Macaca mulatta: one gene and its partner. The protein of the gene in region 1 purifies or fractionates together with the protein of each later gene. This does not show direct contact. Links are inferred from orthologs where the notes say so. Each region holds a gene or a part of one and is shown in the gene's direction. Other genes may lie near its edges.

The links. Proteins that work in one complex are often made in the same cells at the same time.
Region 2: the proteins of TRIM21 (region 1) and GMPS purify together in Homo sapiens (affinity purification with western blotting; 3 studies listed by BioGRID). This does not show direct contact. The link is inferred for Macaca mulatta from reciprocal best matches to the Homo sapiens genes TRIM21 and GMPS.

Annotation. Positions count from the first base shown.
Region 1 is NC_133419.1:71,537,809-71,545,990, forward strand, and holds the end of TRIM21 (E3 ubiquitin-protein ligase TRIM21), read left to right. Parts: intron 1-2,033; 5' UTR 2,034-2,069; coding exon 2,070-2,477; intron 2,478-2,752; coding exon 2,753-2,848; intron 2,849-3,961; coding exon 3,962-4,192; intron 4,193-5,502; coding exon 5,503-5,525; intron 5,526-6,233; coding exon 6,234-6,334; intron 6,335-6,628; coding exon 6,629-7,197; 3' UTR 7,198-7,569; downstream 7,570-8,182. UniProt on the Homo sapiens protein: E3 ubiquitin-protein ligase whose activity is dependent on E2 enzymes, UBE2D1, UBE2D2, UBE2E1 and UBE2E2.
Region 2 is NC_133407.1:59,118,434-59,126,219, forward strand, and holds part of GMPS (GMP synthase [glutamine-hydrolyzing]), read left to right. Parts: intron 1-1,390; coding exon 1,391-1,506; intron 1,507-5,183; coding exon 5,184-5,314; intron 5,315-6,603; coding exon 6,604-6,776; intron 6,777-7,786. UniProt on the Homo sapiens protein: Catalyzes the conversion of xanthine monophosphate (XMP) to GMP in the presence of glutamine and ATP through an adenyl-XMP intermediate.

The DNA of each region.
Region 1 (8,182 bases):
TAAGCAATTCTGCTGCCTCAGCCTCCTGAGTAGCTGGGATTACAAGCGCCCACCACCACTCCCAGCTAATTTTTGTATCTTTCGTAGAGACGGAGTTTTACCATATTGGTCAGGCTGGTCTTGAACTGAACTCCTGACCTAAGGTGATCCACCCACCTCAGCCTCCCAAAGTGCTGGGGTTGCAGGTATGAGCCGCCGTGCCTGACTCATTATTTTTATTTTTCTTTTTTATTTTCCTTTGTGTCATTTTGTTTTTCTTCTTTTTTTAGTTTATTTTTAACTTTTGTGGGCACATAGTAGGTATATTTATGGGGTATATGGAATATTTTGATACAGGTATACAATGTGTCATAATCACATCCGGGTAAATAGGGCATCCATCACCTCAAGCATTGATCATCTGTGATACAAACTATGCAATTATACTCTTAGTTTTCAGTGTACAATTAAATTATTGACTATAGTCACTCTATCGTGCTATCAAATACTAGATCTAATTCACTCCACTTTTGTACTCATTAACCATCCCACCTTCCCCAACACACACACACCCTCCCTGCTACTCTTCCCAGCCTCTGGTAACCATCTTTCTATTTTATCTAACTCCATGAGTTCAATTGTTTTAATTTTTAGCTTCTACAAATGAGTGAGAACATACAATGTTTGTCTTTTGGTGCCTAGCTTATTTCACTTAACATAATGACCTCCAGTTCCATTCATGTTGTTGTGAATGACAGGATCTCATTATATTTTATGACTGAATAGTACTCCATTGTGCATATGTACCACATTTTCTTTATCCATTTATCTGTTGATGGACACTTAGATTGCTTCCAAATCTTGGCTATTGTGAAACATGCTGCAGTAAACGTGGGAATGTAGATATCTCTTTGATATACTGATTTCCTTTCTTTGGGGTATATACTAGCAGTGGGATTGCTGGATCATATGGTAGCCCTATTTTCAGTTTTTTGAAGAACCTCCAAACTGTTCCCTGTAGTGATTGTACTAATTTACCTTCCTACCAATAGCGCGTGAGTGTACCCTTTTCTCCACACCCTCCCCAGCATTTGTTATAGCCTGTCTTTTGGATAAAAGGCATTTTAACTGAGATGAGATTATATCTCATTGTAGTTTTGATTTGCATTTTTCCGATAATGATGTTGAACAACTGTTCATATGCCTGTTTGTCATTTGTGTGTCTTCTTTTGAGAAATGTCTATTCATATCTTTTGTCCATTTTTGAATCAGATTATTATTTTTTTTCCTATAGAGTGGTTTGAGTTCCTTATATATTCTGGTTATTCACCTTTTGTCAGATGGATAGTTTGCAAATTTTTACTCCAATTCTGTGGGTTGTCTCTTCACTTTGTGGATTGTTTCCTTTGCTGTGCAGCGCCTTTTCAACATGATGTGATCCCATTTGTCCAAGTTTGCTTTGGCTGCCTGTGCTTGTGGGGTATTTGAAAGAAATCTTTGCCCAGTCCAATGTCCTGGAGAGTTTTCCCAATGTTTTCTTGTAATAGTTTAATAGTTTGAGCCCTTAGATTTAAGTCTTTAATCCATTTTGATTTGATTTCTGTATATGGTGAGATATAGGGGTGTAGTTTCATTCTTCTGCACGTGGATATCCAGTTTTCCCAGCAGCATTTTTTGAAGAGACTGTCCTTTCCTCATTGTATGTTCTTGGTACCTTTGTTGAAAATGAGCTCACTGTGGATGTACGGATTTGTTCTGGGTTCTTTATTCTACTGGTCTATGTGTCTGTTTTTATGCCAGTACCATGCTGTTTGGGTTACTTTAGCTCTACAGTATAATTTGACATCAGATGATGTGATTCCTCCAGTTTTGTTCTTTTTGCTCAGGATAGCTTTGGCTATTCTGAGTCTTTTGTAATTCCATATAAATTTTAGGATTTTTTTTCCTATTTTTGTGAAGAATGTCATTGGTATTTTGATAGGGATTATGTTGACTTTTTGTTTTTCTTACACAGACTTTCTCATATTTTCTTTTCCCTTTCTTTTTCCTCCCAGCCAGCCCTACTAAAGGGCTTAACAGTACGCTTGACAATGGCTTCAGCAGCACGCTTGACAATGATGTGGGAGGAGGTCACGTGCCCTATCTGCCTGGACCCCTTCGTGGAGCCTGTGAGCATCGAGTGTGGCCACAGCTTCTGCCAGGAATGCATCTCTCGGGTTGGGAAAGATGGGGGCAGCGTCTGTCCTGTGTGCCGGCAGCACTTTCTGCTCAGGAATCTCCGCCCCAATCGACAACTAGCCAACATGGTGGACAACCTTAGAGAAATCAGCCAGGAAGCCAGAGAGGGTGCACAGGAGGAACAGTGTGCAGTGCATGGAGAGAGACTTCACCTGTTCTGTGAGAAAGATGGGAAGGCCCTTTGCTGGGTGTGTGCCCAATCTCGGAAACACCGTGACCACACCATGGTCCCTCTTGAGGAGGCTGCACAGGAGTACCAGGTGAGGCCTTAGAGACACAAACAGGAGGAAAGAAGATGGGCCCTGGTGAGTGCTTTGCTTTCAGAGCAGGGAATGGGAGAGGACCACCTCTGGATTGGAGAAGTTAGAGAAAGGAGGAGTTTACCTCTCTCCATGTCTAATGTAGAAGGAGAATTATAAGCTAAACCCAACCTCATTCTCCAGGCGTAGGCGATATGCATGAGAAAATGCTGCAAGGATTACCCCACCCTATTACTTGGTTTGCATGGGGACTAATATGCTGTCTTTCTCTGCAGGAGAAGCTCCAGGTGGCATTAGGGGAACTGAGAAGAAAGCAGGAGTTGGCTGAGAAGTTGGAAGTGGAAATTGCAATGAAGAGAGCAGACTGGAAGGCAAGAATGACATCCTGAAGGGGATCTTAGGCTAGAAGGTTGGGCAGGGTCCAGGGTCCTCAACTCACAGCCTTAACTGTAGCTGTGCCTGTCTGAGCTGTGATAGAGTTGGTCCGTCTCACTCTCCAGAAAGCAGCTGCTCTCTAGGTTTACAGATAGATGGGAATAAAAATGATGCAGGTTCAAAGGGGAGCTCCCCATCAGGCCTGAAGATCAAGAATCCTGGAAGAAGGTGCTGAGAGGATCTAGCTATACCCTAAAGTTTTGAGCTCCTCTGAGTCTAGTCTCAGAGGTGTGACGGCATCAGCACCTGGATGTCTGAGACAAATATCCTAGGAGAAACCCAACTGCTAGCTAAGCCTTTCAGGAAATGACAAGGCTGTGAGGAATAGACTTAAGGAAACCATCTGACCAGGTGGTTACTTGACCATGACCAGATCTCTGGTCCCAAATATAATGAAGAATCCATGTTTGTTCTGCACTGATCATTTCCAAGGAGACGTGGAGCATGTTGGGGATGAGAGGGGAGAGGAAGGAGCCCATCCCCAGTAGATCCCAGAAAAGAAACATTTGGGATTGAGGTAGGGTGTGAGTTGGGTTGTGGTGACAAAACAGACCCTCATGTCATCGAGTGACCTTCCAGTTACTAACAGGAGATGAAAAGCAAAGAATGTCCCCAAGCCCCCTTTCCCAGGACTTGGAGGTGGTGGTGTCAGCCTGGCTTTGTGAGGTTGTTGGAGGTGGGAACAGGTGTTTTTTTTCTCAGTAACTCACTGAGACAGGAAGACACAGGGGCACATTTGAGTGGTGACTGGGTTTGGAAGAGAGGTTGGAAAAAGTCCCCAATGCCGTATATCCGTGTAGCTGTGGTTGTAGGCCAGCTACAATGTGCCCTCACCAAGTCCATTCCCCTCACTGTCCCGGAAACTTCACCTACCTCCCAAGCAAAATTGTGTGTGTGTGTGTGCACATGCTTGTGTGTGTGTGCGTGTGTTTTCCCAGACAACACCAGAGTGGAGTCTTTGGGGAATAGGAATAGGTACCAATACCTCCATTCCCAAAGTTTGGGAGCTTTTCATAAAAACCACCTCTCTCTTTCCCTTGACACTAAAGAAAACGGTGGAGACACAGAAATGTAGGATTCACGCAGAGTTTGTGCAGCAAAAAAACTTCCTGGTTGAAGAAGAACAGAGGCAGCTGCAGGAGCTGGAGAAGGATGAGAGGGAGCAGCTGAGAATCCTAGGGGAGAAAGAGGCCGAACTGGCCCAACAGAGCCAGGCCCTGCAGGAGCTCATCTCAGAGCTAGAGAGAAGGCGCCAGGGCTCAGCACTGGAACTGCTGCAGGTGAGACAGGGAGGGGTTCCCTTCTACTATTCCGGGAATAACTGAAAAAGACCAGAGCTATCTGGAACTGCCATTCGAATAAATGGACACCTGGTCCCTGGAATGTTCTTAAATAAAGTAGAATTCAAACCCACGAATGGTTTGCATTCAAGGCACAAAGTAAAGATGAAAATAAGTATAGGACCTTTTTAAAAATCAATGTATGTTGCACTTAGAATCATCTTGCATCCACCAATGATATGTTTGCCTCACTGTACGAAATGATGGACTAGATCGTCTCACAAGTCCCTTCTGTTCTAACATTCTACAGTTCTTTCTTCACCCCTGTTCACTGTGACTCAGCGTGGTCATGAGCCATTGCTTTCTGGTGTGTGCAGAAAACCTAATTGTATTGGGTTGACTTGACAGGCTCTCTTCTGCCCAAACCAGGCTTTCTTATTTATTTATTTATTTATTTATTTATTATTTATTTATTTATTTATTTTGAGATGGAGTTTCACTCTTGTTGCCCGGGCTGGAGTACAATGGCGCGGTCTTGCCTCACTGCAACCTCCACCTCCCGGGTTCAAGCGATTCTCCTGCCTCAGCCTTACATCACCACACCTGGCTAATTTTGCATCCCTAGTAGAGATGGGGTTTCTCCATGTTGGTCAGGCTGGTCTTGAACTCCCAACCTCAGACTCCCACCTCAGCCTCCCAAAGTGCTGGGATTACAGGTGTGAGCCACCATGCCTGGCCATGAACCAGGCTTTCTAACATACTTTTAACTGAGTCTAGGATCCTGCTAGCTCCCATGTAATGGCTCCCAATCCCTATAACAAAAATATTTTCAGTGATTTGGTTTCACATACAGGAAGGGGCAACATTAAGTACCCAAGGGAACTTTAACTAACCAACCTTTCCTTCCCAAGCAATGCTAGCCCACAAATGGAACAGAGCAGTTTCTAGACACCTGAACTTGGCCATTCTCTGCCTGTGATTGGGCTTAAGCCAAGCTGGGCTATGTGCCCTCTCTGCCCTCCTTTCTTTCTACCCTGGGGGAAAAAAATCTGGTCTTTGAGTCAGAGTCCTCAAACTGATAATCCTTCCCCAGCTGTAGGTCACATCCATGCTGGGCTTCTGGTTACCTCACAAGCATCCACACATCCTTTCTGCTTCAAGCTGGTCAGAATCATCTTTGGGGCTTTGGACCAGAGGAAGGAAAGGAACAGTTCCCCAGGGACCACAGATGGATCACATCACCCACAGGGCTAATGTCTCAGTGGCAATCCAGCAATCCAGAACTTACTCTGTGTCTCTTTTCTCCTCAGGAGGTGATAATTGTCCTGGAAAGGTAAGGAGGAGTTTTCTTTTTTAGAAGAGGGGCCAGCAGAAAGCATATATGCCTATGACAAAGGTTATTGAATTAGAAATACATGCACTGAAGTTTTCCCCATCTGGCTTCCTATTCTCAAAGACTTCATTGTCTATAAAATATTTTCTGGTCTCAGAAAGCTAATAAGTGGACATCTTAGTTGGTGATTGCCCACAGTAGTTGGATCGTAACATCTTCACACAGTAAAGCCCTGCCAAACAGGGAAATCCTGGGAAGTTCTGGGTCTTTCCAGAATTCAGACTACTGGAGCATGGCCAGCTGGAACTCCTTTTCTCAGTGGAATCTAACAAGTTACCTCCCAAAAAGAGCCATGAGTCAGACCCACAGTGTGGGCAAGACTCCTTGAGGTTCCTTGCAGAAGTGATTCAGCCTGTCTCAGATGGATTGCCTATAAAATGAAATTGAATGCATTTGCCAGGTGACCTCAGGCTTAGAGAGGAGAGACAGACTGTCCACATGCTGCAGCCTATAACCAGGAACTCCTGGGTAGAAACTAAATCCTGCATTGTTTGCCTCTCACACCCACCCCTGAAGACTTGAACACCAGAAGTGTTTGTAAATTTGAGTTGAATTAAATTATCAGAGTCCTCCTCCACAATGGAGGTTATAGTGTTAGGGTTTGGGATAGGAGTAAGAGACAGGAGTCTCAAACTCTCTTTCCCCCAGGAGTGAGTCCTGGAACCTGAAGGGCCTGGATATTGCCTCTCCAGAACTCAGGAGTGTGTGCCATGTGCCAGGGCTGAAGAAGATGCTGAGGACATGTGCAGGTGAGGCAAGCTCTAGGAATTTTGCGGGGGATAATGGGGGTGCAGAGTAGATCCCAGGGTCAGGGAGCCTGGATGGCAACTTGGAGGAGAGATGGAAGGTCAGAGCAGGGGGAGCAGAGATGGAGGTAAGGAAGATGGTTTCTTCAAAGGTCAGGACCAAGGCAAGAACTGGCTGATGGTCATTTCCTCACACAGGGAGGTTGACCCCTCATGCTTGCCCAAAATCCCCCCACCACAGGCACAGAGTTAGTGACTCCCCCCATGCAAGACATGACTATGGTCCTCTCTCTGCAGTCCACATCACTCTGGATCCAGACACAGCCAATCCATGGCTCATACTTTCAGAAGATCGGAGACAAGTGAGGCTTGGAGACACCCAGCAGAGCATACCTGGAAATGAAGAGAGATTTGATAGTTATCCTATGGTCCTGGGTGCCCAGCACTTCCACTCTGGAAAACATTACTGGGAGGTAGATGTGACAGGAAAGGAGGCCTGGGACCTGGGTGTCTGCAGAGACTCTGTGCGCAGGAAGGGGCACTTTTTGCTTAGTTCCAAGAGTGGCTTCTGGACAATTTGGTTGTGGAACAAACAAAAATATGAGGCTGGCACCTACCCCCAGACCCCCCTCCACCTTCAGGTGCCTCCATGCCAAATTGGGATTTTCCTGGACTATGAGGCCGGCATGGTCTCCTTCTACAACATCACTGACCATGGCTCCCTCATCTACTCCTTCTCTGAATGTGCCTTTACAGGACCTCTGCGGCCCTTCTTCAGTCCTGGTTTCAATGACGGAGGAAGAAACACAGCCCCTCTAACCCTCTGTCCACTGAATATTGGATCACAAGGATCCACTGACTATTGATGGCTTTCTCTGGACACTGCCATTCTCCCCATTGGCACCACTTCTCAGCCACAAACCCTGCCTATTTTCCCCATGAACTCTGAACCACCTTTCTCTCTGCAGAGGCATCTGGATCCCAGCAAGCGAGCTTTAGCAGGGAAGTCACTTCATCATCAACATTCCTGCCCCAGATGGCTTTGTGATTCCCTCCTTATATTTGGCCCAAACTCATCTTGATCAACCAAAAACGTGTTTCTGCCTTCTTTATGGGACTTAAGTTTTGTTTTCTCCTCTCCATCTCTAGGGTGTCATCTTTGATGAGATCTCTATTATATCTTGTATGGTTTGCAAAAAGACTTCCTAAAAGTAAAAAATAAAATTTAAAAAACCGTGTCTCAGTCTATCTCATTCAGTCCTCGTTCCTTAATCCTGAAATACTTGATAACTCTGAATATGATTAATAGTAACGTGTCTTTAACATTGCACGTTTTTTTCCTGCCTGGGCTGTCCCCTCTTCTCCATTTGAAATATTTGATCTTGGACTGAAGACCCAGGTCAAGAATCTTCTGTACTTCCCCATTACAGCCTTCCCCATCATAGCCGCTGTGGTGATAGAAGGCCATCTGGGCTCTGATCGCTGCCTGAGGGGATATTACCTCCTTACCATGATGGAACACCTGCTTTTGAAATACAAAGTTCTCCTAGGGTTGGGGTAGCTCTGTGGACCTCTGCATCTCTGACCCTCACGGACCTGAAGCACCTTCTGTCCATGTTCTCAGTAAGTGACGAGTGATAACATCAAAGTTCCTGGAGCTCTCTGTCCCTGCAAGGTCAAGGCTGGGCTGCCCTATGCTTTCAGTATTCTTCTAGAAAACTGGCCAACTCCTGTGCCCCTTGGAATATCCAATTTTAATGATATTTCTCTCTGGAATGCGTCTTTCTTGGGCAAAGTTTTCTGACTAATGCTCACCTGCTACTCACCTGTTGTGTGGCCCGGTTCCTAACA
Region 2 (7,786 bases), on another chromosome or scaffold:
GCTGGTCTTGAATTCCTGAGCTCAGGCAATCCACCCGCCTTGGCCTCCCAAAGTGCTAGGATTACAGGCATGAGCCACCGCGCCCGGCCCATTTTATACTTATTTATATAAGATGCTATCACATTAGCGTTCACATATGTTGAATTTTCGCGTTCTTAGTACCTGCCACTCTGGGCATTAGGTACTTCTCTAATCTGTTACTTTTTAAAATGCTTTTCATAAAAAAAGCAAATTACTTGGATTAAACAGGACACAGGAAAAGAGAATAAATTATAATCAGTTTTATTTACTTATTTTAAAATTAGCTTTTAAGCTGATACTTAAACACATTGATAAGTAAATGTTTATGAATCGTTTTTGTCTCCCACTTAAGAATTCTTTATCCACTCAAAAAACATGGGCAGATGTTGCTTGCCAAATTACAATTTTTCATAATTTTATTTATTTATTTTTGAAATGGGGTCTTACTCTGTTGCCCAGGCTAGCGTACAGTGGTATGATCACTGCTCACTATAGCCTCGACCTCCTTGGGCTCATGTGATCCTCCCACCTCAGCTTCCTGAGTAGCGGGAACTACAGGTACATGCCACCACACTGCCCAGCTAAGTTTTGTATATTTTGTAGAGACAGGGTGTTGCCATGTTGTCCAGGCTGGTCTCAAACTTCTGGGCTCCACTGACCCACCCACCTCGCCCTCCCAAAGTGCTAGAATTATAGGTGTGAGCTTCTGTACCTGGCCTTGTCTGCCAAATTATCCACAGTTAGCAGGTAATGGGAATGTTGAATAAATTCTTTTTTTTTTTTTTTTTTTTTTTTTTGAGACAGAGTTTCGCTCTGTCACCCAGCCTGGAGTGCAGTGACGTGATCTCTCAACTCACTGCAGCCTCCGCCTCCCAGGATCAAGCGATTATCCTGCCTCAGCCTCCCAAGTGGCTGGGACTACAGGTTCATGCCACCATGCCCAGCTAATTTTTATATTTTTAGTACAGACGGGGTTTCATCATGTTGGCCAGGCTGGTCTTGAACTCCTGACCTCAGGTGATCTGCCCACCTCGGCCTCCCAAAGTGCTGGGATTACAGGCATTAGCCACTGTGCTCAGCCTAAATTCTTGATATTACCATGATACCTTATGTATGTCTTAACTGATTCAGGTAGGATTTAATATGGGATTTTAATTTGGAATTTATTCATACCATTAAAGAAACATCTAGTATATACTTTCATTCAGATTTCAAAAAAACTATTAATAGTGTCACCATGCATAAGATATTTTTCAATGCATCTTTTCTTTTAAAAAAAAACAGCATTGTCAAGTTAAACCGAGTTTAAGTTTAAAGTCAAGTTAAACTTTTGACTGTTAAAAATTACTGATTATCTTTTTATTTTCAGGGTGACTGTCGTTCCTACAGTTACGTGTGTGGAATCTCCAGTAAAGATGAACCTGACTGGGAATCACTTATTTTTCTGGCTAGGCTTATACCTCGCATGTGTCACAACGTTAACAGGTGTGTTTCACAGGAGCTAGGGTGGGGACATGTGTAATGGAAGGATGTGCTTCTTAAGGGCTTTCCATTAATGAAAGACCAAAAGGCTCAAATGTAGATATAGGTAGGTCATGTAGATAAGAGTAAATGGCTGTGTTTGCAATTCAAATATGCACATAGGTCGCAGTTAAGTAGATATGTAATATTATCTTGTGTTTTGACTCTTCATCACAATGTAATCATCTGTTAAAAATTATTTAAAGGAGAAAGATTTTTTATTTTAGTGTAAAATATTAAAGGCAGCTGTAAAACATTATCTTCTACATTAGTGGCTTATATTAGCTATTGGTTTTATGGTGACATGTTTTATTCCAGAAGGACTGAAAAAATGTATGTCCAGGTTACAGAATTACAAATAAAGTAACACACACACACACCCACCCACCCACCCCTACAAAACAACCAACCACCCACCCCGCAAACAAAAATGGAGACTTGGTTAATTTAGTAGTAACCCCAAGGAAAAAATCGAAGAAATGGGCATGTGCCAGATAGCATTAAAATAGTTACATTTAAATATATAATTTACATTTTAGGTTAATTTTCCTTTAATTTGCATATTAATTTCTTACATTGGATATATCAACAGCTGATTTATAATCTATTTCTAATACTCAATTTCATCATACCATATATAGTTTAAAAATTCACTTATTTTGTACTAGATTGCTAATTAAATTTTCTTATTTCACGGTTATTCTCTCTCTTCAATTTTCTTCATGGGTGTTAGGCAGTTAACAACCAAAAAGAATTACTTGAGATTTCATTTTGCTCAAATTGCTGCAGAAATCAGAAGCTTACCTTTTAATGTTAACCTAGCAGAGTCTGTATAGTTAGAGATAAGGAGTTACAGGGAAGCCGTGTTTTTACCGATGGGAACATGCTCATTCAAAAGCTTACTCAAATGAACTGAAGACCCCCAAATACAGAAGCATCTTTCATATGCTGAAAAATGGAATTATTAATGTCTTCAATAATGGGGGCCAGGCATGGTGGATCACTTGAGCTTAGGAGTTTGAGAACAGCCTGGACAACATGGTGAAACTCCATCTCTACAAAAAATACAAAAATTAGCCAGACATGGTGGTGTGTGCCTGTAGTCCCAGCTACTTGAGAGTCTGAGGTGGGAGGATCGCGTGAGTCTGGGAGGTTGCCTTGAGCCAAAATCGTGCCACTGCAATCCAGCCTGGGCAGCAGAGTGAAACCCTTTCTCAAAAACAAAACAAACAAAAAAACTTCAATAATGATAAATTTTTAATTGCCTATTTTGAGTGGACATAATTGTCTTGGTTAGAACAGTGGCTCATAATTTGCCTATCACAGAGAAAATTTCCCTAAATTGAACTGCACACTTTTACTGTATAATTAGTGTATTTCTTCATTCACAGCATTCTTACAGTTTTATCTCCTTTTTCTTTTGCCGAAGGGCACACATCCTTATTTAAACTTTATGTTTATATTCCAGTTTCTCTCTCTTTTCCCTATTTGTCTCTTCTTCCTTCCTCCCTTCTCAAAAAAGAAAAAAATAAAAAGCCTAACAATCAGCAAACAAAAAACTAGATTTTCCCAGCAAGCTCTTAAAAGAATCTTGGTGAACTTGGCCAGGCACGGTGGCTCACGCCTGTGATCCCAGCACTTTGGGAGGGCGAGGCAGGAGGATCACGAGGTCAGGAAATCGAGACCATCCTGACTAACACAGCGAAACCCCGTCTCTACTAAAAATAAAAAAAAAATTAGCTGGGCGTGGTGGCGGGCACCTGTAGTCCCAGCTACTCGGGAGGCTGAGGCAGGAGAATGGCGTGAACCCAGGAGGCAGAGCTTGCAGTGAGCCGAGATCACACCACTGCACTCCAGCCTGGGCGACAGAGCGAGACTCCGTCTCAAAAAAAAGAGATCTTGGTGAACTTTAGATTTCTTTGCCGGGGTCTTTTTGGGGAATTGGAGTTTTAAAATATTCTTCCATGTTTGCCAGTTTTTTTCCTAATTTGGATGAGGGAATCTTTGTACAGGAAGGGACTGTTCCAGTTTTACTGTCATATATAGTGTGGGTAAATACCTGTGCCAGTACACTCTAGTGATTTTGTATGTAAGAAGTGAGAAGGTTTAAAAAGCAGGTTCATGGTATTCTCTTAACTTTTTCCTCTAAAGATCTTTTATGAGCTTTAGGAACTATATTGTTTAGAAAAAGTATAACTTACTGTCTATGCATGGGATAAAAAGCTTGCTTCTGTTGTAGTATGTTTGGAAGGAGACAATAAAGTCGGTGGTGGTGTCAGTGGTTTTGTGCTAATATGGTTTTCTTTTGTGTATTTTACCTAAGTACATATTAAGAAAAAAAGAAAAAACATTAAACTTTACCATGATAGTTGCCAGGGAGTTTTATTTTCTTTGCTAAAATCATGACTGATGAAAAGTGACAATTGTCTACTGGCTGGAGTAGGGAGAACTAGCTAAGTGGCACTCATATCTTTACCCTGATTCCCTCTTGTTTTCTGGGTGAAGATTGTGAAACAGATCCCTTCAAACCAATGGCCAGCTACACACTTCAAGTTGTTAAAATTGTCTGATTCTGATTTCCTCAAGTTATGTTCCAAACTGTACTCTCATTGACTGTCATTAACATGAAGATATTTGTGGTATATCTTCATGTCTTTCAAACAGACATTTATATAAAACAGTAATGAATTTTTTTTTGGAAGGAAGTAGTAGGATACTAAGTCCTATTTCAATGGCCCTTTTAATGAAGTGCAAATGAGAATCTCTCTAGGATCATTGTTTCTCAAGTAGATAAAAAGATGAGTTTACTAATTTTGGGAAATTCACTATAGTTTCCTCTTGGAGATTTCCAGTGCATGTTAGCATAGTATATTAATAGTTTCTGAAGTCTTGTCATAAAGGCACCTATTTTTAAATTTTAACTATGTGTATTTGTTTCCTAGGACCACCCATAACAAATTACCAGAAACTGGGAGGCTTAAAACAACAGACATTTATTCTCTCACAGTTTAGGAGGCCAGAAGTCTGAATTCAGTGTTGGCGAGGTCATATTCTCTCTGAAGACTCTAGTGGAGGATCCTTCCTCGCTTCTTCCTACTATTGGATGGTTGCTAACAATGCTTGGCTTGTGGCAGCATAATCCAGTCAGTCTTTGTGTTCACATGATCCTCATTCCCCTATGTGTGTCTGTGTATCCAAATTTTCCGGTACTTGAAAGGATACCAGTCATTGGATTAGAGCCTATCCTAATCCAGTATTACTTCATTTTAACTTGATTACATTTGCAGAGACCCTTTTTCTCCCCAGAGATTCTGGGTGGACATGAAGTTTTGGGGATACTCTTTGACCCAGTACGTTAAGTGAAAAGAGAGTCGTAATAATCACTTATATCTTTGCACATTCTGAGATACAGAATGTTCCAGAGAACACACTTTGAGGAAAGCACATAGAACACAGACCTTCCTATAATCTTACATGTTGTCCTATCCATTTGAGGAGATGAAGTGGGCAGGAGAAGGGCCTAAAACTAAGTGGGAAATGGAAAGAATGTTACTGTTCTAAGTGCCTTGCTTCTCATACTGAAATGTAATTTCTACATTTAAAATGTAATTGCTCTATTATTTTTACCTCTTTGTTTCCAGAGTTGTTTATATATTTGGCCCACCAGTTAAAGAACCTCCTACAGATGTTACTCCCACTTTCTTGACAACAGGGGTGCTCAGTACTTTACGCCAAGCAGATTTTGAGGCCCATAACATTCTCAGGGAGTCTGGTAAGTTGCTCATGTTTTTGATCACTACCCTCTGAAACTAGTTTTTGGAAGCTTGACATTAAGAGTAGGAGGATGTAGCTTTTGCTTTTTAGATGCTTTTGTTTTTATTATTTAAATCTTTGAATGTTCTATGATGTTGCTTTTTTTTTTTTTTGAGACAGAGTCTGTCTTGCTGTGTCACCTAGGCTGAAGTGCAGTGGCACAATCTTGGTTCACTTCAGCCTCCGCCTCCTGTTACAAGTGATTCTCCTGCCTCAGTCTCCTGAGTAACTGGGATTACAGGCGCCCGCTACCACACCTGGCTATTTTTTTGCAGTTTTAGTAGAGATGGGGTTTTTGCCGTTTTGGCCAGGCTGATCTCGAACTCCTGACCTCAGGTGATAAGGTCAGGAGTCAGGTGAGGCCAGGCTTGGCCTCCCAGAGTGTTGGGATTACAGGTGTGAGCCACTGCACCTAGCCTATAATGTTGCTTCTAAATAAAATATATTCACCTTTGTGGCAATTTGTGGGTATGCACAGAGCAGCAGAAAATTTGAATTTCCAGACTTAGATGTTCCCAGCTGAGTTTGAACAAGGTGACACTGTGCCTTCTTGTTCCAGCGCTCATAAGGTGAACAAGTCTTTTTCATGGTCTCCTTGATGAAATATCTTTTGCATTTTTATGCTTTTTGTTAGTGATTTTGCTGTTTAAAATGGATCTCAAGTATAGTGCTGAAGTGCTGTCTGGGTTCCTAAGCACAGGAATGCTGTGATGTACCTTACAGAGAAAATCTGTGTGTTAGATAAACTTCATTCAGGCATGAGTTAAAGAGCTGTTGATTTTGAGTTCAGTATGAATGAATCTATAATAAATATTAAATACAGTGTCTTAAATCAGAAACATACATAAAACAAGGTTATATATTAATCAGTTGATGAAAATATTGCAACCAGAGGCTTGCAGGGACCTAACCCTCCATATCCCCTGGGAGAAATGGTTCAATATTCACTAATTCATTGTTTGCAGTGTAGAATATAACTATACTGCAAATTATAATAGAGAATAATGAGAATGGACTCTTTCTATAGCACATCAGTGAAACATCACTGATGTGATCAAATTCTGTTTTTTGCATTTGTGGTTGAGTCCAATTAAAATGCTCTGCGAGTAGCTAGAATCAATGCATGATGACAGTCTTAACTATACTGTGTGTGTATATGTGATTTCAGATATTGTCTGGGAGGATTTAATTGAACTGAGAGTGCTTTTCTATGGTGCGGTGATTGGTTCTACATGTACCTTTCTCTAGGGTATGCTGGGAAAATCAGCCAGATGCCGGTGATTTTGACACCATTACATTTTGATCGGGACCCACTTCAAAAGCAGCCTTCATGCCAGAGATCTGTGGTTATTCGAACCTTTATTACTAGTGACTTCATGACTGGTATACCTGCAACACCTGGCAATGAGATCCCTGTAGAGGTAATTTATATATTTTTTTCTAATGCATGTTCTCAGTGCCTCTTACATTTTATAATACAGTGAATGGAATAGGCTGTGCCAGTGCTGTATTTCTGATGTTGGTTTTCTGTTCATAAGATAGGCCTTTTTTTTTTTTTTTTTTTTTTTTTAATTTTCACATATTTGATTAATACACTGGGGCAGAAAAAGGCCTTAAGTTATAAATGCTCTCCAAATGTCTGATTACTATATAAACAGTAATCAATTATAATAATTTTATCTAATCCTGCCAGTTTCTACTTTACAAATAGTATTCCCCAAATAAAGAAGAAAACTCTAGGAGTGAAGAAGAGTTAGTTAGAAATAAGGATGCAATTTGATAGCTTTATGGCCAGACACCCAAGAATTGCCTAAATATTCTCCCTACTACCAATTCCAACTCAATTTTTGATCCTTCTTTGTTTTCACCAGAACATTCCAAAGGAGCTACTTGCATAATAGCAAGTGAAAATCAAAGTGAGACTCTGTCTCACAGTTGGGCCGCTGCCTCCAGTGCACTAACACGAGGCTGTGGTTGTAGCTAGGTAGATGGGTTGGGGAATGTGGCTTAGTTAGTTTTCTCTTAGACTCAAATTTGCCAAATTTGACAAGTGAGCAGGCTATCCTCTCTTCCTGTATACTTGATAATGATTAATGGCCCTTAGAGTTGTATGTTTAAGCTGCAGATAATTTGCAGAGCATTGGCTGAAACACATAAAATCACATGCCTGGATGCCACAGCAATGTCAAATCACTGTATGTTCTTAAGCATTTGTTGTGGCTCAGTCACAAACACAAATTGCAGACTAGCACCTGTTTGTGGATCACACTTTGAGTAGTACTGAGTTTAAGTCACTAATATTTTAAACCTTAATAACTTAAACCTATCCCTGCAGAGGGGAATAGGTTCATTCTATAAGATTAATCGGAAACCATCCCATATACGTGGAGGACAATAGTGAAAATAGTCAACTTTTAATTTTAAATTAGAA